2 linked regions of the Astyanax mexicanus genome follow. The protein of the gene in region 1 interacts with the protein of each later gene in a pairwise test. Links are inferred from orthologs where the notes say so. Each region holds a gene or a part of one and is shown in the gene's direction. Other genes may lie near its edges.

The links.
Region 2: the proteins of bysl (region 1) and necab2 interact in binary tests that used the Homo sapiens proteins (3 or more experiments, as listed by UniProt). The two-hybrid records come from large-scale screens. The link is inferred for Astyanax mexicanus from reciprocal best matches to the Homo sapiens genes BYSL and NECAB2.

What each region holds. Positions count from the first base shown.
Region 1 is NC_064431.1:31,839,731-31,849,881, reverse strand, and holds the start of bysl (bystin), read left to right. Parts: upstream 1-4,049; 5' UTR 4,050-4,164; coding exon 4,165-4,426; intron 4,427-5,747; coding exon 5,748-5,904; intron 5,905-7,042; coding exon 7,043-7,181; intron 7,182-7,892; coding exon 7,893-8,026; intron 8,027-8,293; coding exon 8,294-8,454; intron 8,455-10,151. Other genes in the region: med20 (mediator of RNA polymerase II transcription subunit 20), read right to left, coding at 1-185, 1,331-1,476, 2,940-2,953. UniProt on the Homo sapiens protein: Required for processing of 20S pre-rRNA precursor and biogenesis of 40S ribosomal subunits. May be required for trophinin-dependent regulation of cell adhesion during implantation of human embryos.
Region 2 is NC_064416.1:25,388,408-25,399,242, forward strand, and holds the start of necab2 (N-terminal EF-hand calcium-binding protein 2), read left to right. Parts: upstream 1-5,710; 5' UTR 5,711-5,815; coding exon 5,816-6,148; intron 6,149-10,835. UniProt on the Homo sapiens protein: May act as a signaling scaffold protein that senses intracellular calcium.

The sequences.
Region 1 (10,151 bases):
TCGGTAGCGTGCACCGCGGCTCTCGACCTTGTGACCTTTAGCGTTCTGGAAGTGGCTCTTCAGCTTCACCATCAGGACGTCGAAATTAGCATCTGCAGTCAGGTACGGCCCCCCCTCGTACAGAGCCAGGCAGCTCAGCGGAGTCTCCGAGTTATGCATCACATACAGCAGCTTAGAGGGCTGACCTAACACACACACACACACACATACACACACATACACACACATACACACACATACACACACACACACGTTATATATATAATTATGTGTTACATATATCATTATTTGCCTGTAAGCAGGGGCTCTTCAAATGATGAAAAACAACAAGCTAAAGCCTTAGTCTTTCCTTTTTCATTTAACAATCTTTACTGAAATTCACTTTTTTATTTTACTAAGTGCAGTAGAAGGGAAAAGGGAAATACTGGACAAAATGAGCAGTGAATAACTCTATTTAAATGTTAAGTGTGAAATGTGAACATCATGTTTCACTTCACCCCAAGTCCATTTCAAACCAGATTTCTCCTTTAACTTTACTCAAAATGTGGCCTCGTTGTCAAATCAATGGTAAAATACGAAAAAATGTACACATATTTTGCCACTGATTTTGTATCACAAGGTCACATTTTGTGAAAGTTAAATAGAGTTATTTCTTACTCATTTTGCCCGGTATTTTTCCTACGGCCCCTAAAGTGCCGCATGGCACTGAAGACTGAAGGGATTTAACCTCAATCTTGGTCAAATTGAGGTAACATTTAGTTTTAGTGTAGTAAAACATGATAAAGAGTACTAACCTTAGTTGAATAGGCCACCTCCGCTCTCCTGCAGCTTTCCTTGATCCAGTAATTTTGTGCTTTTTCCCAGCACTCTTTATAACGTGCGCTTCAGGGCATCCATTGCCCCTGCAGATAAATAAGTTTTACACCGTTATCCAGCTCAAAGTAGCTCCACACCTCATTGTTAGACTCCGGAGAGCCCTGACATTTAAAACGAGGCATTTAGAAATTTAAAAAGTGCACAGGAAGCTTCGGGCTTAGGTTTTTAACAAGATTCTTGTGCATTTTTAAAGCTCTTAATGCCTTGTTTTAAACGTTAGAGCTCTTCAGATTCTAGCAATGAGATGTGGAGCTACTTTGAGCTGGATAACGGTGTTAAAAGCAAATTACCAGTCGGTAAGTGGATGCCCCAAAGCAGCCGTTGTGAAGAGTGCTGGGCAAAAAGCACAAAATTAATGTATCTCAGAAAGCTATGGGAGAGTGGAGGTAGGCTATTCAACAAAGGGTTAGTACTTTTTATGTTTATGGTGGTATTTTATATACAGTGTATTTACCGCTGGCGTTCCCTGTGGTGTGATACGTCTCACAGTCCACAAAGAAGCTGCCCTGCTTCACTCCTCCCAGCTGCTCCAGCTTCTTATGCAGCTGATCCACCGTCTGCTGCACACTCTTCCCCTCCGCCACCGGCACCTGACACACACTACAGCGCATACACACACACACACTGGAATACAGGTATGCTACTGTACAAAGTATAAAAAGTAGTCCTGCTCTATTGCACACTACTTATTACATAATTAAAAAGCTGAGAAATAATCAGGGACACTAGGGAACTAGTTAAACTTACTTATTTCAGTGCATTTTAAGTAGGGGTGTATTTATTTAAGTAGGGGAGTATATATATATATATATATATATATATATATATATATATATATATATATATATATATATATATATATATATATATATATATATATATATATCTCCAGATGATCCAGATGATATATATCTCCAGATGATCCAGAACGCAGCAGCACGTCTGGTCTTCAACCAGCCAAAACGGGCACATGTCACCCCGCTGCTCATTGAGCTCCATTGGCTACCAGTTGATGCTCGCATCAAATTCAAAGCTCTTACAATCGCCTACAAGGCGGTGACAGAACAGGCTCCTTCCTACCTGCACTCGCTCCTGAAGGCTTACGCTACCTCCCGGCCGCTGCGCTCCTCCAGTGAACGTCGCCTCGCTTTGCCAAAAACTCACACAAAGCAATCCAGACTGTTCTCATACAGAGTTCCCCAATGGTGGAACAAACTACCTTCCACTACCAGATCAGGAGAATCTCTCGCTATCTTTAAGAAACTCCTGAAGACAGAGCTCTTCAAAGAGCACTTACTCTCCTAACACCTCTAACTAACTACCTTCCACTACCAGATCAGGAGAATCTCTCACTATCTTTAATAAACTCCTGAAGACAGAGCTCTTCAAAGAGCACTTACTCTCTTAACACCTCTAACACACTAACTACTTCTAACCTCATTTCCTTCTTCCTCTCCTTCACTCCTCTATCCTATTATTCCCCTGTGTCCTCCTTTTATCCCTATCCAAAGATGTTTTACCTTGAAACTTATTTTACATTGTACTTGACTATTGTAAGTCGCTTTGGACAAAAGCGTCTGCCAAATGTAATGTAATGTAATATATATATTTTAGTAATTTCAAAAATATACACAGTTCTGTAAAAAATAAGAGACCACTTTATGATGATGATTTTCTTTGATTTTAGCAAATTGAAAACCTCTGGAATATAATCAAGAGGAAGATGGATGATCACAAACCATCAAACCACCAAACTGAACTTGCTTGAATTTTCGCACCAGGAGTAAAGGCAAAAAGTTATCCAAAAGCAGTGTGTAAGACTGGTGGAGGAGAACATGATGCCAAGATGCATGAAAACTGTGATTAAAAACAGGGTTATTCCACCAAATATTGGTTCATGAACAGCAGTTTTTGGTTTAGATCACAAAGGCAGCATAAAGAGAAAAACCCTGATCTACAGAAAATCTCCACATGTCAGTTACAAATATATTAATACTCTTTATATCTCGGGAAACCAGTAAAAATCGCCAAACTGAACTCTTTTATTCATTTATTCTTCTTACCAGGTAACTCCCATCTCTGCACAGCGCGGCCACAACAGCTTCAAAACACCCAGCCAGACTTCATCCGGATACTGACAAAATAAAAGTCTTTCTAAAGTCGTCTAATGTCAACTTTTACAATTTTAAATTTCATATACATGCATCAATATATACAACAAAATGTTTTCGCACATTAAAACTATTATTACCTGGAGAAATTAAATAAACGTCGATATTTAAAAGGAGGTGCTGCATACTAATCTGTATTCCAACTCAATCTGCACTCACTGGTTTCCGGTCACACCGCCTGATTAGAATGACCTTTTTTTGGAAAAGTTTATTAACATTTTATAAAGACAAACATTAACACAACATAAAACAAAAAGGAAAGACAAGATACTTTTGTAAATGTAAATATACATGATCAAGAAAACATATAATTCTGTTTAGTTTTTAATCTAATATTTGTATTGGCGAATATGATCTTTTTAGTCTTTCCTCGAAAAAAAAACATGTATATTATAAAAAAAATAGTTAACGACTAACAATTGGTCTGTAAAAATGGAAATAATAATAAATACATTATTAAAAAGAGAAAAATATCTAAATGCACGCTATGTAGCAAATAAAATCATTTATGTAATATAATTGTGTATATGTCATTCTAAAGTCGTCTAATGTCAATTTTATACACGCATTAATATATACAACAAACTAAAATTGCACACTAAAATTATTATTAAAATTATTAATTTGAAAAAAAATAATAATAATAAATCTCAGCCTGTCCTTAAATAGTACAAAATATAATTATGACTTAAATGGTATAAAAGTGATCAAAAACTGAAAAAAATTATATAATATTAATATAGTAAAAAAAAAAAAAAACATACATTATGTATTAACTATTTAAAAGAAAAAAATTATAAATGCACGTTATGTAGTAAATAAAATGATTGATGTGGTTAGCTAATAAAGCTGTGTAAATTTCATTTTAATACAGCATGAGACCCTATATGTTACCAAAAGAATTAAGATTTGTAAAAAAAAAAAATCGCTTTTACATCAGGCACATCTAACCAGCCACCGAAGGGTCCTACGGGTGCAGTTTTCGGCGTTGTCAGTTTTCGGCAGAGCACCCCCTGCGTTACCTCACCTCCATTAGCGTTGAGGGAAACCCACGTGTGTGCGACAGAGGGTTTTGGTAGAACTTAAAACTCCATTTATATCTGAGCAGTCTGTCGCCATGCCGAAGGTAAAGAGGGATAAAGGTGGTGGACCGGACCGGGCCGGAGGTTCTGTAGCCCTGGCCGATCAGCTGCTTCAGTCCGACACCATCAGAACCAACAGCCGGGTCAAAAACCGGGGCAGAAAACAGGAGGAGGAGGACTATGTGGACGAGAAGCTCTCCAGGAGGATTCTGGAGCAGGCTCGGATTCAGCAAGAAGAGCTGCAGACTGAGTTCGGAGTCACACCAGAGGCCAAGAAGAAACCTTCTACTGTTCTGGGCAAGTTAAATAAACGTGTATACATTAATATTATCACATGATAGACCACCACCAGAGACAGCAGTGCTGCTTGAGTTTTTAAACACCTCAGTGTCACTGCTGGATTAAGAATAACAAAAAAATAAACTGTGCAGCAACAAATTCAGATATTTTGTCTCTAATTTTACATTATCTGTAAGGTGGAGCAGCTGTAGGGCTGCAACTAATGATTATTTTAATATTTAACTAATCTTCTGAATATTTTTCAGATTATTCGATTAGTCAATGATTATTTCTGCCTTCCCCTCTGCTTGCTGTTGGTAGAGCTTCTGTTTCTAGCTTTCACTATTGGTTCAAAACGATAGAAAACAGCTAAACATGGGATTTAAATGCCCTTTACATATCCAGAACATTGTCTTTTGAATATGGAAGGTGCTGATCTTTAGTGAGGAAATGTGAAATCTGTTGTGATTGGGCTCTTTTGGAGACCCAGTTACCCTTCTAACATTGTGTTTGTCCCCAGTAATTTGTGTAGTGCTACTAATTGACGATTAGTCGACATCGAAAATTTGGAGCCGACAAATTTTTAAAAATCGTCATTGTCAATGATATTGACTAATCGTTGCAGCCCTAATCAGCTGTAGGTAGGAGTGTGTAATAGAGTGGAGGATAGTGAGAGATTAAACACGGTGTTTAAAACCATCAGCAGCACTACTGTATCTGATCAACTTACTGTACCAGCTCAGCACACACTAACACCTCATACACCACCACCATGCTAATCAGTGCTATTACTGCGAGTAACCACCCACCACACAAGCTAAGTGCTCTGTTGTGGTCACCTTAAATTCAGTGTTATTTTTTTCTTTTCATTATTTCAAAAATGTTCCCCAATGTAATTTAATAATAAAGTCTTCCAAACTGTGCAGAAAAACACAAAAGTGTTAAACAAACCAGAATATGTTTTATATATTTTACATTCTTCAAAGTATCTCCTCTTGCTTTGATGACAGCTCTACACATCTTGGAAAATAACTTTAATTTCTTGCCGTCTTCAAGTGATTCTAGTAGATATATAATGTAAAATGAGAACAGTGTGAATTTTTCTTTTGCTAAAAACAGCAAAAAAAAAAAGTAGTACCCTAATGTGATAATTAGTGGTGAGTGATATGGTACAATATTTCAGGGTATAATATCGTTAACTGTATTTGAAAATGTTGGCAATATTATTGCCTGTGATATGATATGGCCCTAGTTGTAAAGTTATAAATCTGATTATTTTATGTTATTGAAATCATTATAGATTGCTGTTATCATTATTAACAGTATGTGTTGTTTGCAGGTCCACATACTCAGGATGGAGACTCTGATGAGGAATGGCCAGAGCTGGGTGCCATGGGAACAGAGGATCATGAGGTGGGGGCGGTTGCTGAGGTGGAGGTGGATCCGGATGATGAAAAAGCCATACAGATGTTCATGAACAAAAACCCACCAGTGAGGTAAAGAACACCTGGACAACAAGGGTAACAGTGCAAGGTGGCTGCTCCACTATAGGGCAGTGTGGCTCTTCTTATTAATAATGTACTCTTGCTCTTTCTTTCCTGGGGCAGTCCTGTTGAGTACTAGTTTCATCATATCGCTTTGATGTGCGGCTGCGCTAAAGGATACTTTCAAAGTTCTTGAAATTTTTTAGATTGACTTAATTTCTTAGTCATAAAGTATTTTTTCTTTTTACTTAGTTGAGTATTTCTTGCTTCTCATAATCTGGATTAGAACAGTACTCAAATAGAGTTATTCACTGTATACCTGTAACTCTACCTCTTCACTACTTTACAACTGATGCTCTCAAACACATTAAGAGACAAGAAATTCAAGTAGTTGCAAACAAAAAAGATGCAATTATATCTCTGATCAATATTTAGTCCCATCCCTATGCCACACCACACAATATAAAGCATAGGCACGCGTATCCTTATGGATGTTGGAAAAAACATCATACTTTTTGGTTGTTTCCATGCAAATATATTGTTGCAACAAGCACAACAAAAATCATTCTCTCTAATTAAACATATTATTAGTTTATCTTATTTTTACTTAATGTATTTAACTTTTTTTTCAACATGGCACTGTGCTGGTATATATATTTTTCCAAACATATTCACTTGAAAGATAAATAACATAATGTTTAGTGAAAGTATTTAGTGCACTTTTATTTGCACTGATGTTTATACAGGTTCTGTTCTGTTTACAACACAGTGCTGTCATTTCCTTTTAATCCCCCCATCACTATTGCACTATTGTCTTGTGTCTCTTGTCTCGTGTATGTCTCTCTGTGTCCATGTCGTATTGTACGTTTAGTGTCTTTCATTTTTATATTTATATATTTTTTTATCTTGCTGTAATTTTTGGGAAGGAGAGTAACGTAATTTCAATCCTCTAAAAGTCCTGTACATATGCAAAACTATTTGATTTGAATTGATCTTATTTTTACTTTATGTATTTGGATTTGTTTAAATATAGGACTGTATTTTGCTGGTATATATTTGTTTGAACATGTTCACAAACTTCATTTTAAAGAGAAATATCAATGTTTATAGTAAAAATTATTTTTAATGTATTTATTTTTTTTTTGTAAAGGCGCACTCTAGCCGATATAATCATGGAGAAGTTAACAGAGAAGCAGACGGAGGTGGGCACTGTGATGTCGGAGGTGTCGGGGATGCCCAATCCACAGCTGGACCCCAGGGTGATTGAAGTGTACAGAGGAGTCAGTAAGGTGAGACTGAGCAACACCTACCTTTTGCATCCACCTACTGGCCAATTTATTAGAAACACCTACTTTTGTGCCTCCACTCATTGGCCATTTTATTAGAAACCCCAGTTTTGTGCCTACATTCTTTTGCCACTTTATTGGCAACCCCTTTTTTGTGCTTTCTCTCATTGACCACTTAATCAGAAACACCTATTTTCCACTTTATTAGACACACCTACCTTGTGCTGCTTCTATCTGGCCACTTTACTAGAGATTTTTTTTTATGAGCTTCAGGATAAATTAATTAAGTTTATTACTCTTGTAATACATACTAGGTCTGCATGATATGGGGGTAAAAACCTGACATTGTGAAATTTTGTTGTACAATATTTGTTGCAATGAGTATCAGGAATTTTATCCAAATTTCAGTGTCAGTGAATTAAGTCAATAATCTAAAATGCCATAATATTAATAGTACAATATGTGTATCAGTGATTGGAGTCAAAAAATGGTATTGGGTAGATGTAATTGTTAATATAGTGGATATAGTCACGTAAAATTTGATTTTTCTTTGTATCAAGCAGCGAAAAGCTTTTAGGAAAATTGCATGTACTATGGTGTGATTTAATGAGCTTGTATATAAAATGATATTTTGTGCAGCTCTAAAACATGCTGTATTTCAGTTTATTTTGATCACTGATTTATCTATGATCGATATTTGTTCTTTTGTTTCAGGTTCTTTGTAGGTATCGCAGTGGGAAGCTGCCCAAAGCCTTTAAAATCATCCCAGCGCTCTCAAACTGGGAGCAGGTGCTTTACCTCACAGATCCGGAGAAGTGGACGGCTGCCGCCATGTACCAGGCCACACGGTGAGTTAATTTAGAAGCAGCCTGGTTCACAATTTCATATACATATATGCTCACTGAGAAACAAGATAACGCACCCCAGGATGCTGCAGAGGCAGATATGCAAAAATTCAAGCAGTTCAGCTTGGTTTGATGGCTTGTGATCGTCCATCTTCCTCTTGATTATAATTGGTAAAATCAAAGAAACTAAATATTTTAAGTGCTCTCATTTTTTTTTCTCTTTTATTTGTATGCATTCCTCCTTTGTCTTTGCTGCTGGTTCTGGTGCAGGATCTTCTCCGCTAATCTAAAAGAGCGAATGGCCCAACGCTTCTACAACCTAGTGCTGCTGCCGCGGATCCGGGACGACATCGCAGAGTACAAGCGGCTGAACTTTCACCTGTACGGCTCCCTGAAGAAGGCCCTGTTTAAGCCTGGGGCGTGGTTTAAAGGTGAGGGATTACTCCGGAGTGCCTGGAAACCCCTTCAGCTCAAATTCTTCTTCTGGCAAAAGCTCTTCTTTTGTTCTTTCCAGAACTAAAAATAAGCCTGGTTTTCTCATGGGGATTATATCATTGGGAGCATTTAGAGTTTCTAGGTGAAAGGACAATTTTTTAAAATTGGCCAATACTGTTCTGTTAAATAAGCCCTTCTGTATTAGTTTTGATAGGCGTACATATACAGTTGTGGTCAAAAGTTTACATACACTTGTAAAAAAACATAATGTTATGGCTGTCTTGAGTTTTCAATAAGTTCTACAACTCTTATTTTTCTGTGATAGAGTGATCGGAACACATACATGTTTGTCACAAAAAACAGTCATAAAATTTGGTTCTTTCATAAATTTATTATGGGTCTGCTGAAAATGTCACCAAATCTGCTGGGTCAAAAATATACATACAGCAACATTAGTATTTGGTTACATGTCCCTTGGCCATTTTCACGGCAACTAGGCGCTTTTGGTAGCCATCCACAAGCTCCTGGCAAGCTTCAGGTCGAATGTTTGACCACTCTTCTTGACAGAATTGGTGCAGTTCAGCTAAATGTGATGGTTTTCTTGCATGAACCCGTTTCTTTAGCACTGTCCACATGTTCTCAATGGGGTTTAAGTCAGGACTTTGGGAAGGCCATTCTAAAACCTTAATTCTAGCCTGGTTTAGCCATTCCTTTACCACTTTTGATGTGTGTTTTGGGTCATTGTCTTGTTGGAACACCCAACTGCGCCCAAGACCCAACCTTCGGGCTGATGGTTTTAAGTTTTCCTGCAGAATTTGGAGGTAATCCTCCTTCTTCATTATCCCATTTACTTTCTGCAAAGAACCAGTTCCACTGGCAGCAAAACATCCCCAGAGCATAATACTACCACCACCATGCTTGACAGTAGGCATGGTGTTCCTGGGATTAAAGGCCTCACCTTTTCTCCTCCAAACATATTGCTGGGTGTTGTGGCCAAACAGCTCAATTTTTGTTTCGTCTGACCAGAGAACTTTCCTCCAGAAGGTTTTATCTTTGTCCATGTGATCAGCAGCAAACTTCAGCCGAGTCTTAAGGTGCCTTTTCTGGAGCAAGGGCTTCTTTCTTGCACGGCAGCCTCTCAGTCCATGGCGATGTAAAACACGCTTGACTGTGGAGACTGACACCTGTGTTCCATCAGCTTCCAAATCCTTGCAGACCTGCTTCTTGGTGATTCTTGGTTGACTCTTGACCATCCTGACCAATCTCCTCTCGGCAGCATGTGATAGCTTGCGTTTTCTTCCTGATCGTGGCAGTGACACAACTGTTCCATGCACTTTATACTTGCGTATAATTGTCTGCACAGTTGCTCTTGGGACCTGTAGCTGCTTTGAAATGGCTCCAAGTGACTTCCCTGACTTGTTCAAGTCAATAATTCGCTTTTTCAGATCCACACTGAGTTCCTTTGACTTTCCCATTGTAGCTTTTGTAGCTGAGTCTAATCACTGGGTCAAATGAGCCCTATTTAAATGGGCTCATGAGAAGTCAACAGCTGTAGTCAATCAGAATCACTTACAAGAAGTGAAGAGGCCATGACATGAAGCTAATTTGATTGACACAACTCGCTACATCACCAAAATTGACAAATTTTGTTGCTGTATGTATATTTTTGACCCAGCAGATTTGGTGACATTTT
Region 2 (10,835 bases), on another chromosome or scaffold:
CAATAGTCCTCTTAGGAGCACAGTTTAAATTGGCTCTCAATTTTGCTGCAATTTGTTCCCTGCACCCTCATCTCCAAACACCCTCTTGAGCCCCGGCCATTAAGCGGGTCAGCTGACAATATGATAATGTTGAACTGCTTATGATACAGTACAGTACAGTACAGCACTAGTCCTGTACACCACTGTGTAGAACATGCATCATATCTGCTACAAGCTCTTACAGGTAAAGTTCAATAATAAAATATAATAATAAAAAGACCTAATTGTTGAAATGGACTTGTCATTCTTAATACCCTCTTTGTCATTAACCAAGTACCCATAGTATTTCACAAAGAACTAGAAAAAGTGGATTTTAATGGAGGGAAACCTTTAATACCTTTTTGGCATTAACAGAGCAGGCTGTGTCAGACTGAGATGAATCTAAATACTCTTTATATGCGTCCCCAACACTCATTAGCCATTTTCAGAGTAATCAAGGCAAAATGTCTCTCTCTGACTGAGCCATCAAAGGAAAGCCGGCAACTTCAGCATGGAGCTTACTGTGCTTTCAAGTGCATCTTAGATGGTACGTTTCTCTAAGGTGACACTCGTTTCCCTGACTTGTTCATGGGTCATGTTCATGTGGTTTACTTGGGAGGTAATAAAAAACAGAGAATGACAAGACATTTTAATGTTTTTTTTTTTTATGTTTATGTAAAATAACATACTGCTCTGGAAAAAATAAGTGACCACTTCAGTTTATGAATCAGTTTCTGTAATTTTGCTATTTATAGGTTTATGTTTTAGTAAAATAAACATTGTTGTTTTATTCTATAAACCATGGACAACATTCCTCCCAAAATCCAAATAAAAATATTGTCATTTAGAGCATTTATTTGCAGAAAATGAGAAATGGCTGAAATAACAAAAAAGATGCAGAGCTTTCAGACCTCAAATAATGCAAAGTTTTTGATCACAGTTTTCATGCATCTTGGCATGTTCTCCTCCACCAGTCTTACACACTGCTTTTGGATAACTTTATTCTTCTCCTGGTGCAAAAATCCAGGGAGTTCAGTTTGGTTTGATGGCTTGTGATCATCCATCTTCCTCCTGATTATATTCCAGAGGTTTTCAATTTAGTAAAATTTAAAGAAGCTTATAATTTTTAAGTGGTCTCTTTTTTCCTGTATATGGTTGTATATGTTTGGTTGTAGATGTAAAGAAAAAATTGATTGTATTAGAATGCAATTTTTATTTTATATTTTACCTTTAATTAAATGCTTGACTGTGACCAAAATAAGGTTCCTGAATTGTGTTTTCTACTGAGACTACATGAATGTACAAGAGGCAGTAGGAGCAGAGGAGGCATCTAAATAAAAAAAAAAAAAAGAACATATTGTCAGACGACTTCCACGACTTCTTGTCTCTTGGACACGGCCAAAGGTTCCATAGGTTGGGACTAGACTGGTTATGGACAGCAAGAACAGAGACAGACGGTGTGTGACTTCATTCTTAGCTTAGTATGCCTTTACTCCACTACAAAAAACCTGCAGATGTTTAAAATGTTTTTTTATTATTATTTAGTATCTTTAAGAAGTTGCCCTCCTCTCGCTGATCACTCCTGCAAGATTCTGATCAGGCTACAGCTGCAGTAACCAGTGCAGCCGCCCACCTGCTTAGTGCCTTCTAAGCTCTGTAGGGGCACTGCAGCGCACCACTGCGCACGCTTCTGAGAAGAGATGGGAAACGGCCTGTAACAGCCGCACTGAGACAGCAGGGGTGGCGTCCCAGGCGCCGCCAAAGACAAGAGATTACGGCTTGTCATAATTACCCGAGCTCAGCTTGGGGAGAAAAAGCATTAAAAAGCTTTTGCTTCCGTTTCCCCCGTACATTACAGGGACATATTTTCAGCACTGCGTTGTTGTCGGGCTAAATGCCTCACTATAGGACCACAAACTGTGTGTATGGGGGGGCTTGTTCTGTGCACCAATTAAATGAAGGGGCCTTTTAGCAGGGAGGACTTAATCACCTCTGGCAAAGGGCAGGACTGGGGGAGCCTTTCAACACCCTTTCAACTGGCAAAGGTCATCTGAGGCCTTTATAGAGGCACGAAGGTAATGAGGGTGTCGCAGGAGTGAGAAAGCAAGTGAGAAAGCACCCCTCCTGAAACAGCGGAAGTACCAGGTTTCCTCTGCATGAAGATCTCACAGAGGAAATCTCAGATTTGTTATGACTCAGATTTGACAACAGAATGTCTACTCTCAATTGTATTACACTGCAGAGACTTATTATTATGAAGAGCTTATTGGCAAAAACAAAGCTATTCTTTTAAACATAACTGTTTTTGCAATTTAACTCTTCACATGGTGCATGGAGCCCAGTAGTTCTGAATTTTGGTCCTAAAGTACCACTGCTCTGCATGGTGAGGTGTTTTCCAAAATAAAACACACCCAGATCACCTCAGGAAGGTTTTGCTTTAAGCTTCAATCAAGGAAAAACATTGAGAGCAACTACAGAACAACCCTATATAAAACAACTACAGTCCTCAAAATCCAACCATGTATAGTTTTAACAGTGATCACTAACCCTGGTTCTGAAGATCTTACAACACCTAATCAGAAAATGTTGGAAACTTATAAAAAATGTTTCTCTAAAAATGTGTTTTTATTTACTTTGACACTATGAACCTAGGATATTTATTTTTTTAGCATACATCCATTCCTGCATTCAGACCTGTAGTACTTGGTAATGTTGTAATGTCTTCTCACTTACAAGAAGAGTATTTCTAAATCTAATCTAATCTAAATTTTGTCCTATTTTTCTTGGAAACATGTCTTAAGGTGTGCAACAGTACAGTATTGTTTTCTCATTTTGTGCTTCAAAAGTCTCCACACTTTCTCTGTTAGGGACAGGTGAGGACTGAGACAGGCCAGTCCAGTACCAATGCCCTCTTCCTCAGAAGCATCACCTGGTAGCTTTTCATTGTCTAGTTGAAAAATGCATGAAGGTCCCTGGAAAATGCATGGTCCTTCTTGGCTTTGGTTTGAAGCTCACAGAGTTGACCTGGAATATTGATTTGTCTGATTAAATACGTGTTTCCACAGTGTGATGGTCCATCCCAGATGTTTTTGAACCCAGAGGAGTTGATCCTGCTTCTGAACATGGTTAACATAACATGCTTTGCTGCTAACTAAGTTCTTTTAATGTTTTTCAGTGCTTCTACATTTTGTAGGTGCATTACACATAGTACTTGACCAGCTGCCCTCTTGGAAATAACGCTGCTACAAATGTTAGTGAACAATTCCACAGTAGAACCACTTCTGGTTTAAGTAAGATTAAAAATGTGTTTTTTTTCTGAAACCAAATGTGTGCTTCTATACTCTTTTTAGAACCATTAATAGCATGAGTGGATCGGATGCAGTGTGATGCAAGGGAAGAGGCAGGGTGAGACCACTGGTTTAAATGATTTCCTGCACCCAGCATGCCTGATGCAGCTCATCATCTAATTATCAAGCCCTTCATGGGGTTGGTCAGTAGTGATTGTGGCAGAGAGTATCTGAAACTGTGCAGGTCAGTGGGTCTCCAGGACTGGAGGTGACAACCTCTGTGCTGAAATTTACAAGAGATGTGTTTTTCTTGCTTCTTTATACTATTTTCTATCTTCTTTTGATGTGAAGGTAAATATTACCTAAATTTAACAGCTATTATAAACTAAAAGTAACAAAATAAAGTCTGTCTAACATTTCTAAATATTAAATACATTACAAAAACAAGGCCAACACTCCCAAAAAAGATTAGTACACATTAAAGGGGGAATGACTACACACTGATGATGCCTGATAGGGGCAAATGAACCTAGTATGGTACCAGGAGCCAAAAGAAAAGATGCAAGTTTTATTGCACAAACACAGTTTGCTGTATTTTATTAAAAGAAAAAATATTCTAGATAATAATCTACTCAATGGCTGCTCACCACTGAGGAAGAGTATAATCTGTTAATGCCTGTCCCCGTTCTCCATCACATCTTTTGAAAAATGTTCAAAGCGAGAGTGTCACCTACTACCACCAGCATTTCTTCTATTACTGTCTCTACTTCATGCCATTAAGGTTGTTTCCTGGACCAAAATAACTTCTGACAAGGTTGTGTAATATTGATGCAGCCTGCTAGGGGTCTGCAATGTCTCCAGGATAGACCTTGGTTGAAACTTGTCAGCCTGTGGACTGGTACAGAATGTTGCTGCTTACATTGAATTAGGAGCATGTTCAACCGTGGGTTAGAATACATTCTAAATCACATGTGAAAAATTTTTATTCTGTAAACAAAAAAAAAAGGTGTCATTTTGTATAGGGCAGTGATACACTAAAACCTGATCAGCATGATTTAGTTAGTTATATGTAAATGTGCATTTTACCTTTTTGCTTATCTCTGAGATATCTACTTTTTGTCTACTTCATTTTTTACATATCTGCAGATACAATTTTGTCTCGGCAGATAAGACCATAGGTTCTCCAGAGACAATTACTCCTCCATTATTCAGCTGCCCATTGTTGCATTCCTGCTCACACTGTGGGCTGTGAGGCTAATGTTCAGGTCACGGATGTGTCCCTGGAGACACACTCATTAGACTCTTTGGAAATTTGCTTATACAGCAAATGCAGCGGCACTGGACAAACTTGTTTTCACAAATGATTACAGTGTGTTACTCAAAGTCGAGTTCAGGCTGATTAAATATACTTTTACTGCTGCTGGTACTTGGTATGAATAAAAAGCTACACAAAAGCTTCACATATGGCTTGATGAAATCAGTATCAAATTATAGTTTGGAGATTTTATTACTGCTACAGTAAACAAGTACAGGATCATAAAAAACATATGACCAAAAGAGATCTTGTCAAACAGAACTTTGTGTGTCATTGTCTGTATTTAACAGCTGGTATGGTGAAGCAAACCCTGTAGGTTCCAGTTTACCCAACCGAACACATTTATAATTTATAATCAAGGAATTGATGTATATGAAGAAGAAATTATACAAAGTTGACCAGACAGAACATAAACACTGTCCCTACTTTTTTGTTTTGGGTTAGTAATTCAACTCCAATACAAATCCATTTCATCCACTGGTGGGACACGTTGTTGTGACAGGAGCACCTAACCAGGTACTTCATCATTTTTCACCTATAGGAGAACCTAATACAGCACTGCATCTCATTTTCTCTGCTGGGAAAAAAAGCATCCTTTGGGACGCTGTGCAGCAGATGTGGGAGTGAAGGTGCTTCATAACGGCACTCAAAGATGGGTTCTCATTGAGACACTTGAAAATTTCTTGATCTAGAGAACTTCTTTTTGGGGGCACCCTAGCAGACACTTTTTGGCCACTTTAGCGAACCACTGGGAACACCTAGGGGGGCAGTTGCCCCTCTGGCCCACCCCCTTAAGTCTGCCAGTGTCTGACTTACAGCTTACAGCAGATCAACCGTGTGCTTCAGAGTCTAGCTAGATCCCTGAGAACTATATACATAATCTACTTCATCCAGTTTAACTAAATCAGAATGAAGTTCTGCTCCGCGCAATCGGGTCTGTTTCAGTACCAGTCATGCAGGCAGGCATCCAAGTGTGCAGGCAGGGCAGCGCAGGGCAGGGTTTGCTCCAGCAGCAGCAGCAACAGCACCTGCACTGAGAGAAGCCTCGCTTCAGAGGGGCAGTAAGTGCGCGTGCCTTGGAGAGGTAGGTGTGTGTGCGCGCGCGCGTGTGTATGTGTTTGGGCATGTGCTGATGTCAGAGGGGAGGAGGGACCGGCCCCCATAGCGCGCAGCATGAACGCGCGGAGGCAAAAGGATGTGTGAGCAGGCAGCGCGCAACTGCAGGGACGTCGTCCACAAGCTGCTCCACAAGGAACAAGGCAAACTCCGCGCGCAGGACAGCGGCGAGCAGCCCAGAGGCGGCGGGCCGCGGGACAGCGAGACAGCGACGGCTGCACCGGCCCAAAACAGCGGCGGAGGAGCCCAGCCCGGGGGAATCGACGGGCTCGTCCGCTGGATAGTCACCAAGATGAGCGACAACAAAAGCATCTCGACGCGGGAGTACGCCAAGGAGGAGGAGGAGGTGGCCGTGGCCCAGGAGCAGTTCTTCGCCCCGGAGCCGCGGAAAGGCATCTCCGTCATTCTGGACGTAAGTGTTTGTTTAGCTGCGTGTTTGTGTTCGCGCCTGTGTGTGTGTGTTAGTGTAAAGTGTGTTAGCGTTTGTGTACGCTGATGTTGAAGGGTTGGCTGGTGCTCGCGCTTAAAGTTTAACTTTGTTTCTGGCAGTAAAATGACTTGCGGAGGAGTTAGGAGGAGGTGTTTCAGCGGTTTGGCTGAGTTTAACGTTACTTAGCTAGATTAGCTAATTAACCGGTGTGGTAACGTTAGCTACACGTCTGGAAAAAAAATAAGAGAATCAGTTTAACTGATTTTGCTATTTATAGGTAACATGTTTGTGTAAAATGAACATTGTTGTTTTGTTCTGTAAACTACAGACAATATTTCTCACAAATTCCAAATATTGTCATTTAGAGCATTTATTTGCAGAAAATAAGAAATGTCTGAAATAACAAAAAAGATGCAGAGCTTTCAGACCTCAAATGATTCATACAGTTTTAAGAGTTCAGAAATCAATATTTGGTGGAATAACCCTGGTTCTTAACCACAGTTTTCATGCATCTTGGCATGTTCTCCACCAGTCTTACACACCGCTTTTGGATAACTTTATGCCACTCCTGGTGCAAAAATTCAAGCAGTTCAGATTGGTTTGACGGCTTGTGATTATCAATCTTACTCTTGATTATCTTCCAGAGGTTTTCAGTTTGGTAAAATCAAAGAAACTCATCATTTTCAGGCGGAATCTTATTTTTTCCAAATCTGTATCTAGCTAGTTACTAGCTAACCTAGTTAGCTAACGTTAGGTTGCATAGCACCCTCTCCGTAACGCCGTTGCCTCGCGCTCAAGTCATTTAATTCAGTGGAGCTCAAAAACGAACACAAACGTTGTGCAACTTTCTGAATTGTAACAGCTGCGTTAAACTGCCTTCACACCCCAACCAACGCCTCTTCTAGTGAGCAGGATTCGTATTCTTTAGATTAATACTCTAAAAAAGTGAAAAATCGGATGTAAATCCGCCTGGAGAGTGAGTACATGTGTACAAACCTTAGCCAGCTAACTTACTAGCGACGCCAACACATTCGTTTTAAGTGGTTATGAGGGTTAAGTCTTTAAATTATTAACCCTCTGTGACATTATTAACACTTCAAGCAACAAACCAAGTTTTTGGTTGATACACTGTAGCTTATTTTTATGTATTTCATTTTAATATAATGTCACAATGAATATATACGCTACGCCAAATACAACGAGACGTACAATGGGTCATAATAAGTATAGAAAATGTTTGGCTGTTTATATTTTTACAATATTCATGCTGTAAACTTACTAAAACAGTGTTTTTTCATTTGTTGAACACATGCCTGCATGTTTTGGTTGATTTCTTGCTCTGAAACACCTGATTCAAATCTAAATTGTATACGTTTGATTACCTATATTCACATGGGCTTTCAACATTCCAAACATCATAGTATTCCTTCCAAAAATATAATTTGTCATTGAGCGTTAAATCATTTTAGAACAGCACAGTAACAGAATAATAGTCTCTCTTAAAATTAGGTCTTGTCTTGTTTATCACGTAATTTCTTGTAACAAATCTGTTTTTGACAGAAACATTACTTAAGGAGGGCTAGGTTCGCTAGCTAACCTGTGATATCTAGTTTGCTAGTTAGTTAGTTAACCTAGTTAGGGAGCCTAGCATCCTCTCTGTAACGCCGCTGCTTCGCGCTAAAGCCATTTAATTCAGTGGAGCTCAGAAACGAACACGAATGTTGGGCAAGATTCTAAAAAGTAACAGCTGCGGTACACTCCTTCACACCACAACCAACGTCTCTTCTAGTGGTTAGGCTTCTTATTCTGTAGCTTAATACAAATATTTTACTGAAATATTAAATATTAAATTTATTGTGAGGGTGCGAAGCTCTCTAGTGTTTAAATTAGACTGCGTAACTGAGATCAGCTGGAGCCGAGGGCGAGCGTCTTCTTTTCCCGCCTCTTCTCAGTTAAGCCCCTCCTTTGGCTAAACTCTTGTGCTGTGATTGGTTCATAGTTCATACTCTATCGATTCACTCGTGGATGTGAACTACTAGCGAATCCCAGCGCCTGGCAGAGATACTACCAGCCAATGCTAGCGCAGGAGGCGGGGCTTGCCCAAATACTGGCGGTTTAAAAGAAATACAACGCGCACGGAAGCAGCCGTGTGAAATCTTTTATAATCTCATATCATCAATATTATTAAGATAGTCTTATAGTATGACTAGCCTACATAGTTTATCTCTTAATTAATTAATCGATTTTCCCGTTGTTTACGCCCCCAATGTATTTTCTCTCACGACCATAACACAGCCTATGTGACAAGCACACCCTGCCTAAATAATTGATTAACTTTTCCTAGTGAAGCCCTGCTGTGCTCAGGCGAGGTCTCAGCTGTATTGATTTAGCAGGTCAAAGTGGTGCCTCACTATCTTCTCAGAGCTCCTGATCATTCATTACCCTACCTGTGTCTTCTGGGGGGAAAAAAAGTTAAAACCCTGCCTGCCAGTGGAGCGAAAAGTAGTTCATTTCCAGACCCAGATACAGGAAAAAAAAAGGTAGTAATGTGTTTAACTGGTGCATTAAAACCAATTAAAAAAAGAAGAAGAAAAAAGAGACAAGTTTGTAATAAAAGACTCGAGGCACAGTTGTACCCCAGAAATGTGAAATTAAGAAAATCATACTCTGGAGGGGAAAAAATAAACGAGTATGAGACACAGGAGGATGAGAAGAAATGGTGCAAGAGAGGATCAGGAGCTATAGAAAAAAGGGAGAGAACAAGAGTGTGTGTGTGTGAGAGAGAGAGAGAGAGAGAGAGAGAGAGAAAGAGAGAAAGAGAAGGAAGAGTGCATAGCGCTCCATGGAGGCTCACTTGGGAGCGCAGGTGCCTGTCAGGGAATTGATTTCCAGCCTCACTTCGGGGGTGGATTCCATTACCTGCGTGAAGCCTCTGCTATGCCTGGGCCGTGTGGAGAGCTCATCACTACTAATCCAAAGCTAAAAGTTTATCTGGCATGCCTGTTTAACTCTAGGAGCCCCTTCACTAGGTCCAATATGGCGAAGGCAAAAGCATTTAATTTAAAGTAATTTTGGAGCATTTCTGTTTGTCTATTTTTCATGGAGTTTTAAAACATTGTACAGATCTGTTACTTTGTTCAAATGAAGTATATCCTCACTTTAATGGAAAAAAAACCTTGAATCCCCTAAATGGCAACTCTTGAGGAGAAGAAAAAGAGAAAAATGCCTTAAACACCAATAGAAGTTAATGTAAAAACAAAATCTTATTCCAGATTATTTTGTCACATTTTATTGGTTTGATCATAATAAAATTGGGTACAGTATACAAAATAACTGACAGATTCACATTAGGGTTGTGTTAATCAGACTATTTTGCCCTCAATCTGTGTTTGTGTAATGTTTGTGTGAATAATACTGCTGCACAGTTTAGAGGTGCTGTGGATATACTGCTTTTACATGTAAGTAAAATCACTTTATTTTAAGTAAGAGTTTATAGAATGAGACATCATGGTCTGATTTATTTAGTTTTGTAGTCTTTAAATAAATTTTTTATATGTGTTAAATGAATATCTCATCATGCAGTTCTCATATTTATATATATATATATTTGAAATGTATTCAATTTCAACTCTTTTATTTCATTTTATTTTAAGACCTCTCCTTACTGCTGCTGTTGGCTGGGCAATTATGTAATGGTCCCATGAGGCCACCAGATGGTACTCTGAACCCTGTGGTTAAAACAAAGACTTGGAACTGGATTGAGGTTAAAATAGTCAATAACCGATACATTAAAATATGCCTGGATCGATCCCGATCACTGTGTTAGATCTGGACTGCCCTGATTCATATTGTGTCGAAAAGTGTAAAAATGAATGGGAAGAATGTATGTGTCCCAACTTACTGTAAACCAGCAACACTAATATCAAATTGTATGCGCTTAAGATTTCAACATCAATATTGGAAATGAAGAATGGTATCATTTAACACAGACATAAATATCTGACACTTAACAGTTAAGTTGTTGTATCTGTTTATGATCCAATATCCAACTGATTTAATTTAATATATGGGAAGTTGGCATTTATTTTTATTAGTGCCATGTTATTGGTATTCATCTTTATTGTCTTCACTGTAAATTAGCAAATACTTAAAACAACCTCAAGCTGAAAATTTAATTACTGCAAAATACCAATTTGTAATTAAGCTATTCCTTAAATAGCTATTTATTTTATATTATATATCCAAGTAATTAATTGCTTATTTCTATAATTGGTACACTTTTTGACTGTCAAAATAGTCACTTATTGCAACCCTGTATGCTAATATAAGCTGATTCTTTTGCCTTGACATCACAACACACTATTTTAGACTTGATATGATCTACCCTTTAGGCACTTCAGTACATACTGTATTTTGAGCCTATAGACCACTGGTCTGCAGATTTAACTCATCTGTATCCAGTGAAGCAGAAGAAGCAAGGCATGGTCATTTTATTTCCATCACCTGGCCTCAGCTGGTGACTGCACATGACATTTACTGACGACTCAATGTAGGCTAGAACGCTGAAATATTAACAGTATTGCGATTTGCTTAGTAAATTGGATCACAGCCAGGACATACTGCGGCAACCGCAGAGAATCAATGAAATGGAGCCCTTAAGTAGGCAGTT